2 linked regions of the Callithrix jacchus genome follow. The protein of the gene in region 2 purifies or fractionates together with the protein of the main gene of each other region. This does not show direct contact. Links are inferred from orthologs where the notes say so. Each region holds a gene or a part of one and is shown on either strand. Other genes may lie near its edges.

What was found. The genes of interacting proteins can lie anywhere in the genome.
Region 1: the proteins of TP53RK (region 2) and LAGE3 purify together in Homo sapiens (affinity purification with mass spectrometry; 5 studies listed by BioGRID and IntAct, with this or other methods). This does not show direct contact. The link is inferred for Callithrix jacchus from reciprocal best matches to the Homo sapiens genes TP53RK and LAGE3.

The regions. Positions count from the first base shown.
Region 1 is NC_133524.1:150,268,019-150,277,171, reverse strand, and holds LAGE3 (EKC/KEOPS complex subunit LAGE3), read left to right. Parts: upstream 1-4,050; 5' UTR 4,051-4,085; coding exon 4,086-4,273; intron 4,274-4,576; coding exon 4,577-4,705; intron 4,706-4,926; coding exon 4,927-5,041; 3' UTR 5,042-5,061; exon of another isoform or gene 5,062-5,315; 3' UTR 5,316-5,508; downstream 5,509-9,153. UniProt on the Homo sapiens protein: Component of the EKC/KEOPS complex that is required for the formation of a threonylcarbamoyl group on adenosine at position 37 (t(6)A37) in tRNAs that read codons beginning with adenine.
Region 2 is NC_133506.1:41,908,337-41,918,429, forward strand, and holds the start of TP53RK (EKC/KEOPS complex subunit TP53RK), read right to left. Parts: upstream 4,981-10,093; coding exon 4,698-4,980; intron 2,787-4,697; coding exon 2,347-2,786; coding exon of another isoform or gene 2,308-2,346; exon of another isoform or gene 2,201-2,307; intron 1,762-2,200; coding exon of another isoform or gene 1,732-1,761; exon of another isoform or gene 1-1,731. Other genes in the region: uncharacterized protein LOC144582859, read left to right, coding at 4,979-5,107, 5,214-5,441.

The sequences.
Region 1 (9,153 bases), on a different chromosome or scaffold from region 2:
TTATGCCACTGCACTCCAGCCTGGGTTACAGAGTGAGACCCTGTCTCTCAAAAACAAAAACAAAAGGCCAGGTACAGTGGCTCAGGCCCTAATCCCAGCACTTTGGGAGGCCAAGGTGGGCAGATCACCTGAAGTCAGGAGTTCGAGACCAGCCTGACAAACATGGTGAAGCCCGTCTCTACTAAAAAATACAAAATTAGCTAGGCGTGGTGGTGCATGCCTGTAATTCCAGCTACTTGTGAGGCTGAGGCAGGAGAATCGCTTGAACCCGGGAGGCAGAGGTTGCAGTGAGCCAAGATTGCACCACTTCACTGCAGCCTGGGTGACAAGAGCAAAACTGTCTCAAAAAAAATTAGTCTGTTTCATTCAAGAAGCAACAAACTACCTACGGTACATACTGTACCATCCTAAGCATTAGGGATATGGCACTGAAGGAAAACAACGGTACAGGAGATTCGATGAACAGATTATTCCAAATACTATATGGCCAGGAGCGGTAGCTCATGCCTGTAATCCCAGCGCTTTGGGAGGTGAGGTGGGCGATCACTTGGGCCCAGGAGTTGGAGACCAGCACAGGCAACATAGTGAAACCCCACCTCTACCAAAAACACAAAAATTAGGGGTTGGGGACAAAAAAATTACAATTAGCTGGGCATGGTGGCACACAGCTGTACCACACCTGTAGTCCCAGCTACTTGGGAGGCTGAGGCAAGATAATTGCTTGAGTTCAGGAAGTGGAAGTTGTAGTGAATGAGACTGTGCCACTGCACTCCAGCCTGGGCAACAGAGCAAGTCTCTGTCTCAAAAATAATAATAATAATAAGGCCGAAGGCTGGGCGTGGTGGCTCACACCTTAATCCCAGCACTTTGGGAGGCTCAGGCGGGAGGATCACAAGGTCAAGAGATCTAGACCAGAGGCGGGCGGATCACAAGGTCAAGAGATCGAGACCATCCTGGCCAACATGGTGAAACCCCATCTCTACTAAAAATACAAAAATTAGCTTGGTGTGGTGGCACACAACTGTAGTCCCAGCTACTTGGGAGGCTGACGCAGGAGAATCGCTTGAACGCGGGAGGCAGAGGTTGCAGTGAGCCAAATCACACCACTGCACTCCAGCCGGGCAACAGAGCGAGACTCCATCAAAAAAAAAGAAGAAGGAAAAAGAAGTGAGAAAGAGAGAAAAGAAAGAAGGAAAGAGGGAGGAGAGGGAGGAAAGAAATACTCTATAGCAAATTGAAATGGGCAAATGTGATGAAGAATGCCTGGGGGTGCTGAGTTATACTGGTTATCCTGAAGGCCTCTTGGAGGTGACACTGGAGCCAAGGTCCTAATAATGAGGAGGAGCTAGCCATGGGAAAGTTTGGGGACAGTCTTACAAATAGAAGAGTAAGTGCAAAGGTCTGGGGTCAGGCTGCCCTTGGTCGGAAGCAGAGAGAAGGTCCCAGACGCAGGAGAAGGAGCTGGGACTTTTATAAGATATAGCAGGACTTTATTCCAAGTGCAAAAGGAAATCATTCTAGGGTTTTAACCAGAGATGTGATCCCATGCAATGTTTTTTTTTTTTTTCGAGACAGAGTCTCACTCTGTTGCCCAGGCTGGAGTGCAGTGGTACAATCTCAGCTCACTGCAACCTCCACCTCCCAGGCTCAAGAGATTCTCCTGCCTAAGCCTCCTGAGTAGCTGGGACTACAGGTACACACCACCATACCCAGCTATTTTTTTTTTTTTTGTATTTTTGGTAGAGATGAGGTTTCACTATGTTGGCCAGGATGGTCTGGATCTCTTGACCTCGTGATTAGCCCGCCTCAGACTCCCAAAGTGCTCGGATTATAGGTGTGAGCCACCGCACCTGGCCAATACTTTTTTTTTTTTTGAGACGGAGTTTTCGCTCTTATTACCCAGGCTGGAGTGCAATGGCGTGATCTCGGCTCACCGCAACCTCTGCTTCCTGGGTTCAAGGAATTCTCCTGCCTCAGCTTTCCAAGTAGGCGTGCACCACATGCCCAGCTAATTTTTGTATTTTTAGTAGAGATGGGGTTTCACCATGTTGACTAGGATAGTCTGGATCTCTTGACCTCATGATCCACCCGCCTTGGCCTCCCAAAGTGCTGGGATTATAGACATGAGCCACCGCGCCCAGCCAATACTTCTTTTTTTTTTTTTACTGTAAATGTCATAAAAACCCACTTTGGAAAAATTGGAGGTAAAACTAAAAGTAAATTAAAATCACCCCTATCCTATTATGCAGAGATCATGAGGATTTACATGTTGCTGTATGCTCTAGGATTTCTCTACATGTGTACAGTAAGAGACTAACTTGGCCTTTTCTTTTCTTTTTATTTTTTGAGGCGGGGTCTCGCTCTATCAACCAGGCTGGAGTGCAGTGGGTTGATCACGGCTAACTGCAGCCTCTGCGTCCCGGGCTCAGGCTATCCTCCTATCTCAGCCTCCCTAGTAGCCGGGACCACAGGTACGCATTTTTTTCTGGAGACATGGTTTCACTATGTTGCCCAGGCTGTTGTCGAAATCCTGGCTCAAGCAATCCACCCTCTTCAGTCCCCCAAGTAGATGGGACTACAGGCATGCTCCACCATGCCCAGCTAATTTTTAAAATTTATTTTTGGCCAGGTGCGGTGTTGCGTGCCTGTAGTCCCAGCTACTCGGGAGGCTGAGGCTGAAGGATCGCTTGAGCCCAGGAGTTCTGGGCTGTAGTGCACTATGCTGATCGGGTGTCCGCACTAAGTTGAGCATAAATAGGGTGACCTCCCGGGAACGGGGAACCACCAGGTCGCCTAAGGAGGGGTGAACCGGCCCAGGTTGGAAATGGAGCAGGTCAAATCCAGTGCTGATCAGTAGTATTGCACCTGTGGATAGCTACTGCACTCCAGTCTGGACAACATAGTGAGACCCCGTTTCTAAAAAAAAAAAAAGAAAAGAAAGAAAAGAAAAGTTACTTTTGTATTTGTTGTAGAGATGTGGTCTCACTATGTTGCCCATGTTGGTCTTGAACTCCTGGGCTTAAGTGATCCTCCTCCCTTGGCCTTCCAAAGTGCTGGGATTACAGGCGGGAGCCACTTAGCCTGCCCTAAAGTGGCATTTTCTTTCTTTTTTTTTTGTAGAGACGGGATTTCTCCATGTTGGCCAGGCTGGTCTCGAACTACCGACCTGAGGTGATTCCCCCACCTCCGCCTCACAAAGTGCTGGCATTACAGGCGTGAGCCACCGCGCCCGGCCTAAAGTGGCATTTTCATACTCATAGTTGTGCAGTCTGATTTTCCACGTTATATGAGACCTAGGCACAGCGCCAATACTTGCGTTCAAGGCCGTCATATTTCGCCTCAGTGCAGGCGTTCTGCTGACAGGCTCCCGCTCCGCACAGCGCCCCCACCCCGCTCTAAAATGCCTCCTCTAAAATGTAAATCCGACTCTTTACCGTCCACTGTGAAGCCCCCTCGGTTGGACCATGGGGTCGTGGGCAAGAGCAGTATCCTTGTGGGGGGGTATCAGACCCCGCCACCGTCCCTCCGCGAGTCGCTGCATGCACGTTAGTGCCACATCTCCGGGGGATATTGGGTACCGGTAAGAAACAGGGCGGGAAGCGCCCAGACACCCTCGGGCCTCACTAGGGCCTCACTAGGGCCTGCCCGGCCGAGGCCACAGGCCCTAGACGGCGCAGGCGCGCTGCGGTCACAAGGCGCAGTTAGGGGCGGAGCCTTGCAGGGTGCGCCTCTGGGCTAGGCGACCACGGGGTCTTCAAAACCCCGTCAGGGCTGGCTTCCTGGGGCCTGACTGACTGTGGGTCACTTTGCACTGACGGCCTGGGATCGAGTTACGCGCGAAGGGACAGAGTTTCTGGAGGAGACCGCGGCCTCTTAACCGCTGACTCGGTCTCAGAAGGCACCCGGCAGGGCCGCTTGGCGGGAACTGACCACGCGCCAGGCAGGCTTCCCAAGAACGAGTGCCGGCGCGTGTGGGCGGAGTCGGGCGCAGGGGGCGGGGATTCGGGAAAGGGACCGGGAGAGAGGGCGGGGCGTGGGGGCCTGCGCCTCGGGGGTGGAGTCCGAGCTGCGTGGCGGCGGAGGTCATGCGGTGCGCGAATGCACACGCTGGCGCAGGCACAATTGGCAGGGATGGCCAGGGTGGCCACAGCTGCCCCAGGGGCACGGACACAGCGGGAGCTCCGGCTGACGAACCTTCCCCACCGCACCCGCCAGGTCCTGGCAGAGACGCCGCATCTGCGGCCAGGGGTTCAGGAATACGGCCGCACATATTGTATTCTTTCCAAGGGGAGGTCGGGAACAGACTGGCGGCTGCCTGCGCCGGGGCGAGGGCTGGATTCGGGGAGGAAGAAAGGAGGGCGGGCGGCGACCGGGGTAGACGAGCAGGGGTGCTCGGAGGAGGGGAAGAAATAGAAATGGAAGGAGAGAAGCCCTGCCAGCGGTGGCCTGGGCCACGTGAGGAGTAAAGCGAATGACTCTAGGTAGGGTGACCTGAGGGGGGGCTTCAGAGGATCAAGAAGGCCTGAGACATAGGCAAAGTCGTATCAGATGGCACCTTAACCGAATGCCCCCCCAGCACCCTTAGTGTGCCTTTCCCGACCCCCTTGGAGGCGGAAATCGCGCATGGGTCCCTGGCTCCAGATGCCGAGCCCCACCAAAGGGTGATTGGGAAGGATCTCACAGTGAGCGGCAGGATCCTGACCGTGTAAGTTCTGAAAGGGGCTGGAGTTGGGGGAGGCAACCGATGGAGACGTAGGGGGCACCCATGGATGAACCCTAAGGAGCGCCAGGTGCGCCGGGCCGGTCTCCACCTGAGGGGCTGTCTCATGGGCTCCCGAGGCTTTGCTGTAATGGGTGCCTGAGCGGCAGAGTGACGGACCAGGAGTTGTCACCTCCAATTTTATTTTCTTTATCCCTCACTTTTAGCCGCTGGAAAGCTGAAGACTGTCGCCTGCTCCGAATTTCCGTCATCAACTTTCTCGACCAGCTTTCCCTGGTGCTGCGGACCATGCAGCGCTTTGGGCCCCCCGTTCCCCGCTAAGCCTGGCCTGGGAAAATGGGGTGAGGTCTAATATTGCGTCTCCCTAGGTAGGGCACCCAGCTTTCCCTAGGGCAGGAGTTCCCACAGTTGCTATTTTCCTGTGAAAGCCTCATGGTCGGCCTGTACTGGCCCGTGGGTGCTCAGGGGCCCCTTGTTTGATCTGGTTCTTAAATGTTTGTTACCACAGAAAATAAAACTGAGCTACTGTTCCAAGTCTGAGTTTATTTCAGCTACAGCACCTCCCAATATTCTAGTCATTGTGCTTCGGTTACAGGGGAGGTTCTAGAATCCAGATATTCAAGGAAATTGAAGACAATTTAGGAAATGGAAGAAAATGAAAATCAGCTGGGCTCTCATTCAGCATCAACTACTGTCAACATTTTGGAATCCTTCCTTATAGTTACATTTATTACAGTTGTTTTCCCCTGAAGTTAATAGTAATAAACGTGTAACTGTAATATACAGCATATAATTTTTGCAAGTTTAGCGTTAATTTTTTTTCCTGAATTTTAAATCTAACATGAGCTTCTTTCCTCTAACAGTGAAGAAAGTGCTGGGTCAACTGACTAGTGTTTGGGGAAGGAGTTGGCTCCCTGTAAATACACTAAACTCAGTCTTAGGACTCTTTTGTAGATTCAATTGGATTTTCTGAGAGTGGAAATAAAGAGGTACAACTGCGTATCCTCAGAAAACATGGAAACGGTTTGATCCTTTTTAGTCTTTCTCTGAAGATGTGCTGCATGGGACTGGAGCAGCTCTTATGGTAGACTTCAGTTTCCCGGCTATGGAGGCAACAAACACCATTCAGGGCACCCTGGCCAATGCTGCCCAGGTGAATATGAGCTTCTGTATCCTGGTGGGTGGGGACAGCTGCTAGTCCCTGTCCTGCTTGCATACTGGAGTCACCTTTCTTCCTTTCCTGCTGGGGTGATGTCTTTCCCTGGCCTTGGGTAGCTTCCTCACATGCCTGTGCTCACTGGTGGTCTGCTGACACCAGAGGAGGACTCTCCGTGGATATCCAGGGTTTTTTCCCTGTGCAGCTCTCTTCTCTCTAGCTCCCCATCCTGCAAACTCCAGCTACTGGGACTCTCTGATTCAGAGTTTCAACTCATAAAGTCCGGGTATCTGCCTGGCTCCACCAGGAAACTCCACACAGGGCACTGGGCCAGTCACGTGGCTTACCTCAAGTGTTTCCCAGCTCCCACCTGTCACTGTCCCTCACTGCCCCACAGCCAGTTTATTGTGTTCCATATATTTGGTCTGGTTTGGGGGTTCTTTCATGTGGCAGTACATATTCAGTCCCTATTACTCCATAAGGAGGAACAGTTTCATTTTGCAGAATCTGGGGAGCTCTGCCAGTAGTGACAGTGGCACTGGTCTCGAGCTTATGAAGATGACACTTTGTTCTCTCCCTCTGTTTTACTCATTCCTTTCTTTCTTCCTTTCTTAATATTTTTTAAACGTTAATTATTGATGAACAGTTGGCAATTTAGATCTTTTACTTTTTAAAAAATTCTTTTTTTGGACACAGGGTCTGGCTCTTGTCACCTAGGCTGGCACAGTCATGGCTCACTGCAGCCTTGACCCTCTGGGCTCAGGCAATCCTCCCACCTCAGTCTCCTGAGTAACTGGGACCACAGGCACATGCCACCACACCTGGCTAATTTTGTGTTTTTTGTAGAGAGGGGTCTCACTATGTTGCCGAGGCTGGTTCTGAACTCCTGGGCTCAAATGATCTTCTTGTGTGGGCTTCCTAAAGTCCTGGGATGACAGGTGTGAGCCACCACACCCAGCCCCATATAACTCAAACCTAGCCCCAATTTAGCTCTGTCTCCCTTCCTCTTCCTCTCATGATGCTTCTGTTAGATTCCATTCATTTCTGAGAGATTTTCCCCTAAGGTTAAAAATTGCCTTGTTTTCCCATGGCTTAGTTATCATTATCATATGATGGTAACATTCTAAACCATCTCCCTTGCCCTCTGTCCTCCGTCTGGCTGGCTCTGTCTGGGCTGACTGCACAGCTGCCATCCCGCAATTTCTCTTTATCCTGGGTCAGAATCCAGTCCTGCCTTGCATGTCCTTCTCTTTACTGTTTTACTCCTTATTTGTGTAGTTGCTTGTTTTTTTAACTCAGGCTTATTAAGGCATCATTTACGTACTGTGAACTTCCCCTCTGCTGCATGGACAGGTCTCAGTTTTGGTAAACACCAACGGTCCTGTAACCACCACCGCTGTCTGGCGCCGTGGCCCCAGAGCTGGACAGTTGGAGCTGGCAGCTTTTAAACCCAAGTCAGATGGCCTCAGTTCTCTGCTCCAGGCCATCCAAGCCACCATATTTAAAACTGCATCTCACTGGGCTGGGCACAGTGGCTCACAACTGTAATCCCAGCATTTTGGGAGGCCAAGGCAGGAGGATCACTTGAGCCCAGGATTTCAAGACCAGCAAGACTCCATTTCTACTAAAGGAAGGAAAAAAAATAGCTGGGTTTGGTGGCAAGTACTTGTAGTCCCAGCTACTCAGAAGGCTGAGGCAGCTGGATCACTTGAGCCCAGCATGAGCAATAGGGCAAGATCCTGTCTCAAAAAAAAACATAAAAAGTAAAAAGAGTAAGATTCGATCTCACCTGGCCAGGTGTAGTGGCTCCTGCTGGTAATCCCAATACTTTGGGAGGCTGAGGGGTGAGGATCACCTGAGGCCAGGAATTCAAGACCAGCCTGAACAACATAGTGACACCCTATCTCTACAAAAAAAAAAAAACCAAACAAACAAACAAAAAAACACATGGTAGAGCAGAGTGCACTTACCCAGCTACTCAGGAGGCTGAGGTGGGAGGATCACTTGAGCCCAGCAGTTTGAGGCTTCACTGAGCTGTGATCTTGCCACTGCACTCCAGCCTGGGCAACAGAGCTACACTGTCTAAATAAAATTTTTTTTTCCACCTTCTCCCCACCTGCAATTTTTTTTTTTGGAGACAGAGTCTCACTCTGTTGCTCAGGCTGGAATGCAGTGGCATGATCTCAGCTCACTGCAACCTCCACCTCTCGGTTTCAAGCAATCCTCCTGCCTCAGCCTCCTGAGTATCTGGGATTAAAGTCATGTGCCACCATGCCTAGCTAAGTTTTTTTGTATTTTTTAATAGAGAAGGAGTTTCACCATGTTGGTCAGGCTGATCTCCAACTCCTGACCTTGTGATCCACCCGCCTCAGCCTCCCAAAGTGCTGGGATTACAGGCGTGAGCCACCTCACCTGGCTCGACCTGCATTACTTAACAGGCCTGGGAGTAAGACTTTGGTAGGTGAACCATGATGGGGGCTACAACCTGGACAGCACGCAGTGTCAGGTTTCGAAGGAGTTGGCCGCAGCTGAAGGCACTGGAGGGTTCTAAACCATGAGGCAACAGGATCTCTCTGCCTCCAACACTGAGAATAGGCTGATGAGAGCCAGGACAGAAGCTGGGAGACTGGCATCTGGGCAGAGATGATGGTATGGGAGAGCTGGGTGGGGGTGCTGGAGGGGAGGAGAATCTATCTTGCATCTGTCTTGAAGGTAGAGTCACTGGGGTTTGCTGATGGGTCAGGCATGGCCCTGGACCTCCCCAGATCCTCCGTGCCCCTGTAAGGAGTGGTCCTTTCTCCCACAGTGGGGCTCCAGCTCACACAGCATCCACAGGTCTACTGACCTGCCCCAAGGACAGAGCCCCACGTGGATGGCATTTTCCCAACATTTAATTAGGAAAAAACATTCCATGAACAAAGAAAAACTCATGCAACTAAAGAGGAGAGAATGGGGGGTCTGGGACCGTGAGAGGAGGCAGAAGACACGGAGCAGTAAGGCACGGCCGCCTTGGCCCCTTGGGGCGGGCGTGGGACGGAGCGGGCGCTGAGTGTGTGGCTGAGGAGGGAGTCAGGGCAGCTGCAGACAACACCGAGGGCGTTTGGCCCAGGAGGGGCCCAGCAGGCCCAGGAGCGTTCTGGGGCCTCCAGGCCCGTCAGACCCTGGCACATGCCTGGGTCTAGCCCTCCAGGTGCTCAGAGAGAACAGGGCCTAAAGATGCTGAAGGGGGACCCTGTGGCCCAGAGTGGCACAGCCACAATTCTGAGGAAGCTTTGGA
Region 2 (10,093 bases):
CAGTTCAGCATGGCTGGGGATGCTCAGGAAACTTACAATCATGGCCAAAGGGGAGCCAAAAACGTCCTTAATATGGCAGCAGGAAGAAGTACTGAACAAGAGAAAAGCCCCTTATAAAACCATCAGCTCCTGTGAGAACTCACTCACTATCATGAGAACTCACTCACTATCACGAGAACAGCCCCCAAGATCAAATTACCTCCCACTGGGTCCCTCCTGCAACGTGAGGATCACAGAAACTACAATTCAAGAAGAGATTTGGGTGGGGACACAGCCAAACCATATCAACTAGGGATTTGTTGATTTAATGCACAAAAGCACAAAGCAGGTACTAGCCTTATGGTACATGTGAGGAAACTGAGGAATGAGCCATCTCAGTCAATGTTGGGAATATTAATTAAAAACTCGTCAGCTCCTGTGGCCCTTGGAGTTCCTAGAAAATAATGTTATATGCCAATACTTATTACAGTACTATAAAGAGACACCATATCCCGTATCTCATTTGACAGTGGAAAGAATACTGATTCAGAGCCAGGTAAAAGTGCCCCTTGCTACCTGTGATGTCTTGGACAAGTTCCCGCCTTTTGGGATCAGTTTCTCCATCTATAAAATGGGGATAATGCCTAATTTAAGAGTTATTTTAGATCCAGTGTAAAAATTCCTAGCCCAATGCCTGACATGCTGTAAGCAGGCAATAGTAGTTTTCCTCTCTACTAGTCACAACTACCCAGGAAGAGAAGTTTTCTCTCATTCCTGGCCATCCACTCCATGTTGGGCACTTGGGGCGTGCTGACAGTGATGAATGAAACAGACATGGTACTGGTCCTACTATTATAGAATGTTTGCTTCACGTGAACAGGCACTGACTGTATCATCTCTGAACACAATGGAATGAAGGTAGGAATGAGTAACAAAAGAAAAACTGGAATATTCGTAAGTGTGCGGAAATATAGATTTCTAAACAATCAAGGGGTCAAAGAAGAAATCACAAGAGAAATTAGAAAATACATTGAGATGAATGAAAACAAAAGCACAAAATACCAAAACTGATAGCGTGTGATGAAAGCAGTGTGCAGAGGGAAACGCACAGCTGTAAATGTCCATATTGAGAGACGAGACAGTAACTATGTGAGGTGATGGGTGTTAATTAGCTCATTACTGTAGTAATCATTTCATAATGTATATCAAAACATCATACAGTATACTTTACATTTTTTTATAAAAATAAATTTTCTTACAAAAGAACAGGCACGCTGTGTCTGCCTAGCTCACCACTGTACCCCATCCCCATTACGGTGCCAAGGAACACAGAAAGCACTCAAAATACGTTTGTTGAATGGAGTTTACAAGGAAGAAAGGTATTTTATACCTCCTTTCCCTCCCCACCCACACATGGCTTCTTCTGGGGAAAGAAATTGAGGCTGGGCAAGGTTAAAAGCTAGCTCCTAGTACTTCTAAATCCACACTCGGTTCACCTGTGCCTTAAACCAGACTTCATCAAACTTCAGTCTTCACAAGTCACTTTACCATTTTGGCTCTACCTACTTACTGCCTGTGATAGAAATTAACTCAGTTTGCCTGCCTGTATGAACTTAAAAGGAACTTTATATATCACTTGTCTTACTTAGAAGGTAACCACAGAAATACGGAGCAATAAAAATAAAAACAATGTTAACATGCATCTCAGGTGCCCGAAAGTTTTAAGTCTGTTTTTTTTGAGAGAAATTGGAGTTAAGCAGTTTTCATTTTTTGATCATGACCCTGAAAAAGAAATATATTTGACATCAAAACTCAGAACATCCTTGTCTCTATCTACATGTGAAAGTTTCGTAAAACAATACGCTGATATTCTGTAATTCTACTTCATTTTTAAAAATTCTAGTTGTATTCCCATTAAACTGGTTTCAAGACAAATATATCATGTGCAACAAAAAAACACTAGGTTATGGGGCTGATAAAGACATACTATCAGCAACTGAGACTTCATCCTTGTCTCACAGGGACTAAAAAGAGAATAAAGTTCTCATGCGGTTCAATGCTACACCCATGTACCTGAGATGTACAAGCCACAACCTGGGAGAAAGCCTGCCCTAGATTTACTTTAAATACCCAGTTCTGCCTAGAACATGTCTTAAGACACATAGAAAGCTCCAGTAGTGCAGATGATAATGACACACCAGGGATGATCACACACCACTTAAAAATATCTTAACACCTTTACTTAGATCGCCTCTCTTACTTGCCGCATTTCTTCAAATGTACTTTGAAAAAACAGCTTCACTGCGTCTGGCTGTCAGACACATTCTTCTACCCAACCATGGACCTCTTTCTTCCTCTCAGGCGTACCTCATCTAATTTTTTTAGCACTGGCCTGGCCTTTTTGGAGGAGGTGGAGTAGCTCTTCAGAAAGGCTTCAAACACAGTTTCAGTGTTGGGATGGGTACTGAGGAAGGCCTTCTCCAGGACGTAGAGGTCTACTCCCTTATCCTCTGGAAGTGCTGAAATGAAACTCAGCCCAAAGTCTATCAGCACGATATTCAGCTGTTCGAGGGGTGGTTTCAGGAGCATGTTGGAGGTGGTGAGATCACCATGAATGAGGTCTTCATCGTGCATTTGAGCCAAAACCTGCCCAATTGCCTTGGCTAAGTTGGAGAGGCTCTGGGGAGTTTTTTCAGTCTCCATAGTGGACTGAATATAATCTCGAACAGTCACCGAGCCTTCAATTTCTTCCATATATAAGCAGTTGGAAGCATAGTCCACAAAAAAGACAACTGGGGCAGATATTCCTGAAATCAAGACATAAGTGGTTATTGCACTGGATTTTCTTTTTTAATGGTAAACTTAATTTTCAAAGATTAAGCCAGTTTTTCCAACTATATCTACTTATTTCAGGATGATTTAGGAATGCTGCAGGAAATGGCACAACTTAACTCATCTGGAATATTCCCCTGCTCACGCCCACTGCAGGACTATGCCTGGGACCACCCCACAGCTAAGCTGAGGAGGCAAAAGCTTCCTCCTCCCTTCCAAACCACCCTTTCTCACTGAACTTCATTTATCACACTCTCTCCCTGAAAAAAAAAAAAAAACAAAGGCCAGGTGCAGTGGCTCATACCTGTAATCCCAGCACTTTGGGAGGCTGAGGCAGGCGGATCACTTGAGGTCAGAAGTTCGAGACCAGCCTGGCCAACATGGTCAAACCCCATCTCTACTAAAAATACAAAAATACAAGTAGCTCGTACTACCAGCTACTTGGGAGGGTGAGGCAGGAGAATAGCTTGAACCCAGGGGGTAGAAGTTGCAGTGAGCCGAGATCACGCAACTACACCACTCCAGCCTTGGTAACAGAGCGAAACACTGTCTCAAAAACAAAAAACGAAAATAAAGAGCAAGGCACAGCCCAATCAGGGCAGGTTCTACTGATGAGGTCACAAACAGGAGGCCAAGCAGTGGGCTGACTTTGAGGTTCATCTTCAGAGAGGACAGGGTTCAAATCCCATCTCCTTTTCTTATTAGTTCTCTAATCTTAAAGTTACATTAACTTCTCTAAGCTTCAGTTTCTGCTGCTATAACATAGGAACAACAGCTCCAATAAACTCAATGAATCTTTACCGAAGGTCAACCAGGCTCAGTATACTTTTCTAGAAACTTAGAGATAAATCAATGGGGATACAGCAATAAACGAGGCAGTTATAATACAATTCCTGCTTAACATAACATATCATAAGAGGTGGAAAACAGAAATACGAACACACAAATAACTTCATGAAATCTTGTCTTTACAAGGGCGGCATGTGTCTGCTTGTTGGCTAATGAATTTCTGGGCTCCCCTCCCCCAGATCTCCCAGCACTTAACAATGTTCTGGTGCCCACCGCTGTCTAAAAAATATTGATAAAAGAAAGAAAGGCAAGAAGTGTAAAAGTGAAAAGCCAGTGCTTCTGAGTCAGGGGCATACGGATCTGAGGGCCTGGACCAGCCACTTAGTAGCTGTGTAACCTTGGGCAAGTTACTTCTCTCTTGAGTGCCAATTTCTCATCTGAGGACAAGGTTTATTGTGCTGGCGCACAATGATGTTTAATGAAAAAATAAATAGGCAATTTAATGAAGTCCAACATTTATTGAGCACTACGTGCCAGGCACACATTTGAACATAATACGTGGCACATATACCTTCTCTAATGGTCACAACATCCCTACGACATGGATACTGCTACTATGTCTCCCATTTCACAGGTGAGAAAACTGAGGGTGAGAGGCTAAATAACTTGTTGAAAGGCTACATAAGCAGCAGCAGAGTTAGTATATCAACCCAAAGAGCCTGGCTCCAGATTTAATTACATCTGTTTCTTAAGACTAATAAGTAAACAGATAATGATTGAAAATTGAAACGAGTCAAATAGGGAAACCAAGGCTCAGGGAAGTTAAACATGTTCAACGCTGAGCAATAATGACAGAGCCCAGATCTGAACCAGGCAGAACGGCCCAGGACAAACGCTTGACCCTGCACGGCCACGTGGTTTCTTAAGACTTAATGACGAAAGGTATGAAAGAATAACATTTCCGAAAGGCAGGCCACGGCAGAAGGCACATAAGGAGAGACTAAGGCAAATCAAGGCTAGGAGAGCAGAAGAGTACCTCACTCGTCCAAGCCCCAGAGCCTCGGGGCCACCCACGCCGGGATCCCGGCCCACCTTACCCGCGCGGCGGCAGCGGAGGAGGGCCCGGGCCTCCTGCACAGTCCGTCGCCTGCCAAGCCGCGCCTCCAGCGCCGGGTGCCGGTAACCCTTGGGGAAGCGGTGCTTCACCACCGCCGCGCGACCCTGGAAGCGGCCGCGGAATACGCGCGCCTCAGCGCCCTGCTTCACCAGCTCCAGGCCGCTCAAGAAGCTGCTGCTCCGCTCGCGGGCCGCGGCCAGAGCCTCAGCCTCCGGCGCTGGTTCCTCGCCACCGTCCGACACAGCAGCTCTGGATGCCGCCATGACTGTGGTCCGCGAAACAGTTCCGATCGATCAGCGGTCCCTGAAAACGATCGCGATGCTTCGGCTCGCTTCGGAAATCCTCGGACTTCTGCTACCCGAACGCGTCTACCCCGGAAACTTCCGGCCTGTGAGTGGCTACGCCTCCCAACTTTTAGGCTCTTTCTGAAGCCTTGGGTTCCCTGCAGGAAGGGCTCTTGTGGCCCCGCCTTCCACCTCTTCCGTTATCTCCGTAGCGTTCGGCAACTCTCGGAAAGCGGCCCTTCCCCACTCCTCGGCTCTCTCCGGAAATCTTCGGTGACTCTCGCAGCCGGCTTTGGGGCCCACCTCCAAACTGGTTGTCTCTTTCCGGAAAACTTCGGCGCCTGTCGAGAAAAACGTCGGACGCTCTCTGCTCTTTTCAGGAGTCTTCCTGGACAGCTGCACCCGCTAGTAGTTTGTTTTTGGAACTCCTCTTCCCCTGACTCCTAAATTTTCCCCAGAATGTAGTCAAACTAGTCAGAGTCGCGCGGGTCAAGACAATGAACCCATGTTTCCGACATCGTCTTAAGTGTTAGGTTAACCACCATTTAGTGCATTCAGAAGAAATAAGGATAAATGATGAAAACCCTTCCTACGGAAAAGAAAATGGAGACTCAGAGAGGGCAATGGGGGTGGTAGGATGGGGCAGGGAGTGGGGGCTGGGGAATCCCGGAAAATTTTCCGGAGACAGAACATAAACTGAATTGGGAGTAATTAAGCTTTTTCAGTTTCTACCTGTTTCATTATAAAGCTAATACAGGCCGTAGCAAATTCTTACAATACAGAACTTTGCACACACACACATGCATCAAAACCTGCCTATCGCCCTTGCAATGTGACGCCGCTGGCCGTTAGTTTCTTTCCAGGCTTTTCTTTTATTCAATGCGCACACTCACACATGGTTGTGGCGTTTTTTCCAATATGAACGACATCATACTGTGGGTTCTTTTGCAACTTGCTTTTCATTCTCCTAGACAATTTATCTCGGACTATATTCTATTTCAGTGCATGCAGAGCTACCACGTCCTTCTACCTGTTGCGAAACAGTTGTTTCCAGTTTGTTGTTTTTCAGGAAAACATTTTACTATTACCAGTTTCTTATAAAAGATAGTATAAGAGATAAAAATGAACAGCCAAATGAAGAGATACAGGGGTAAAATTTAAAATGGTAGGCATTTATCGTAAATAACATGTTTTGAAATATGTATACATTGTGGAATGGCTAAATCCAGCTCGTTAATATTACCTCACATACTGATCATTTCGGGGCTGAGGACACTTAAAATCTATTAGCATTTTTTCAATATAACACAGTGTTATTATCTACAGTCACCATGTTCAATAGATATCATGAATGTATTCCTCTTGTCTAACTGAAAGTTTGTGAGTTCAGTTTTCTTACCTTCCTTATGTAAGTGAGACCATGAGATAATTTGTCTTTCTGTGCCTGGCTTATGTCCTCCAGTTCCCGTTCCAGTTCCATCCATGTTGCTGAAAATAACAACGCTTCTTTTTCTTTCTTTTTTTTAATTTTATGTGTGAGACCGAGTTTTGCTGTTGTTGCCCAGGCTGGAGTGCAATGGCACAATCTTGGCTTACCGTAACCTCTGCCTCCCGGGTTCAAGAGATTCTCCTGCCTCCTCAGCCTCCCGAGTAGCTGAGATTACAGGTGCATGCGCCACCACACCTGGCTAATTTTGTATTTTTAGTAGAGATGGGGTTTCTCCATGTTGGTCACCCTGATATCGAACTGCCGACTTCAGGTGATCCGCCCTCCTTTGCCTCCCAAAATGCTGGGATTATAGGCGTGAGCCACCGCGCCCAGCCTCGTTTCGTTACTTTTAAAGGCTGAATAGTATTCCATTGTGTATGTATGTACCACATTTTTTATCCGTTCATTCATTGATGGACACTTAGATTGAGTCTATGACTTGGCTATTGTGAATGATGCTGCAATTAACGTAGGAGTGCAGCTGTCTCTTCCATATACTGATTTTGTTTCCTTTGGTTATGTACCCAGTAGTGGGGTTGCTGAATTATAAGGTAGTTCTATTTTTAATTTTTTGAAGAACCTCCATACTGTTTTCCATAATGTCTGTACTAATTTACATTCCTGTCGACAGTGCAAGAGTTCCCTTTCCTCCACATCCCTGCCAACACTTTTTATCTTTCATATGTTTTATCATAGCCATTCTAACAGGTCTGAGGTGATATCTCATTGTGGGTTTAATTTGCATTTCTCTCATGATTAGTGATGTTAAGCATTTTAAAAAATATACTTGTCCATTTTTATGTCTTCTTTTGAGATCTTTTGGATCTTTTGCCCATTTTTAATTCAGGCTCTGTGCTTTCTTACTATTGGATTGAGTTCCTTATATATTTGGGTATTAGCCCATTATCAGATGTATGGTTTACAATTTTTTTTCCCATTCTGTAGCTAGTCTTTTCACTCTTTTCTTTTTATTGACTTTGCAGGAGCGTTTTAGTTTGATGCAATTCCATTTGTCTGTTTTCACTTTTGCTCCTTGTGTTTTGGGGGTCATATGCAAAAAGTCATTGCTCAGACCGATGCCATGGCATTTTGCCATTTTCTTATAATAGTTGTATAGTTCTGGATCTTACATTTAAGTTGAATCCATTTTGAGTTGATTTTTGGCATATGATCTAATTTCTTTCACATGAATATCCATTTGTCTTAACACCATTTATTGAAAAGACTGTCCTTTCTCCATTATGTGTTCTTGGCATGTTCAATGACAATCAATTGACTGTTAAGTGTGTGGATTTATTTCTGGGCTCTCTATTCTGTTCCATTGGTCTGTGTGTGGGCTTTTATGCCAGTGGCATGCTGTTTTGATTATGATCACTTTGTAGTATATTTTGAAGTCAGGTAGTATGATGCATCAGGCTTTGTTCTTTTTACTCAAGACTGCTTTGACTATATGGAGTCTATTATGATTCTTCATAAATTTTAGAATTTTTTTATTTCTACAAAAAAAGTCAATGGAATGTTGATAGGAATTACATGTAATCTGTAGGACATTTTAACAATGTTAATTCTCCAGTTTTGTTACTTTTTTTTTTTTTGGTCTCTTATAAACAGTGCTGCAGTGACCAGGGTTATTCAGCCATCTTTGTACACATGAATGAGTGTTTCTGAGGACATGTGATATTGCTGAGTTGTAGATGACAAGCATTTTGAAATTTGACACCTCAGCCAAATTACTCTCCCAAAGTTTTGTGCCTGTTTACACTTCAGCCAAACTCGTGCCTCATTTTCCCGTATCTTCAACTTCATTGAGTTCAGGTGCTGGAACGTTCAATCAGGGGATGAAGTGGGAGGGTGCTCAGGTTCCAGACAGCAAGAACAGACACAGGGTAGGGTTGCGTTTGACAAGGAGCAGCAGTTCCACATGGCTGGAGCAAGTTGGCACTGGGGACAGGCTGGGAGCTGAAAAAACACGGACAGTGATCTGGTCCCAAAGGATTATTCTTGCTGGAAGAGAGGTGCTGTGAGCCTGGGGTGACTGACCAACCATGGCCCTTTGAGGCCTTGACCTCTGGCAGTAGAATAAGCAGCTGGACTCTGAGTAGAATAGCCAAGCAGTAAAGGAGAGGGAGGCTTCTACTTTTCAGCCCTTTCTGAGCCTGAAAGAGAACCTATGGCCTCTTCCTCATTTCCACCCATCAGTACCAGATGCCCATTCATTCATTTATTCACTAATTCATTCAATAAATATTTACTGAGTGGCTACTATGGGCCAGGCACTATGCTAGACCCTGGGGACAGAGCTGTAAACAAAATAGAGAATAATTATTACTGCCTTCATGGAGTTTATATTCTAGTGGGTGGAAACCGACAATAGACAAGTAAGGAAAATGTGACGTTGGCAGAGCTAACAGGTAATATGGAGTGAAATCAAGCAGGGAAGGGGGATGGGAAGAATGAATGTATCTGGAGTGCCAGGGACCACTCCAGTTTTTGCCTGTTGCCCTGGCATAACTATTATTAGCACTGCCACCTTTTTTCTTTTCTTTTTTTTTTTTTTTTAATGAGATGGAGTCTCATTCCGTTGCCCAGACTGGAGTGCAATGGTACAATCTTGGCTCACTGCAACCTCCACCTCCCAGGTTCAAGTGATTCTTGTGCCTCAGCCTCCCAAGTAGCTGGGGCCACAGGCATGTGCCACCACTACACCCGACCAATTTTTGGGTATTTTTAGTGGAGATGGGATTTCACCATGTCAGCCAGGCTGATCTTGAACTCCTGACCTCAGGTGATCTGCTTGCCTCGGCCTCCCAAAATGTTAGGATTACAGGCATGAGCCACTGCACTCAACTTAGTATCCCCTTTTTACTCTCAAAAGCATTCTGGTTTGGACGATATAATATATGGTTACCCTATGGGTAGTAGAATGGAAATGGGAGGGAGTGATGCAATTTTATTTTATGTTAGTATTTATTTTTATTTTAATTGAGACAGTGTCTTGCTCTGTTGCCCAGGCTGGAGTGCAGTGGTGCAACCTCCTGGGTCTCAAGCAATCCTCCTACCTCAGCCTCCCAAGTACCTGGGACCACAGGCATGTGAAAAAGATACCAAATTCATTCATTGTCTCTATGGTTACCAAATTCACCATGCTCAGCCAATTGTTATCATTTTTTGTAGAGACAGATCTCCCTGTGTAGTGCAGGTTGGTCACAAACACCTGGCCTCAAGTGATCCTCCTGCCTCACCCTCCCTCCTGATCTTCTGGGATTACACACATGAGATACCATGCCCAGGCTAATTTTAAATAAAATGGTTGAGAAAGTGTCAATGAAAAGGTGACATTTGAGCCTTGTGAATGGATTCCTGGGGGAAGATCTTTCCAGACAGGAGGGGCCTGAGAGAGGAAGTGTGCTTGACACGTTTGAGAAAGAGTGAGTTCTTTAACCTCTCTGTGCTTTAGTTTCCTCATCTGTAAAATAGGATTTTACATAACATCCACCTTGTAAGGTTTTTGTGATGATGAAATGTATAATGAGAGGTAAAACACATAGAACTGTGCTGGGCACATGATACTCACTTTGAAATGGAAGCTATTATTATGACGGG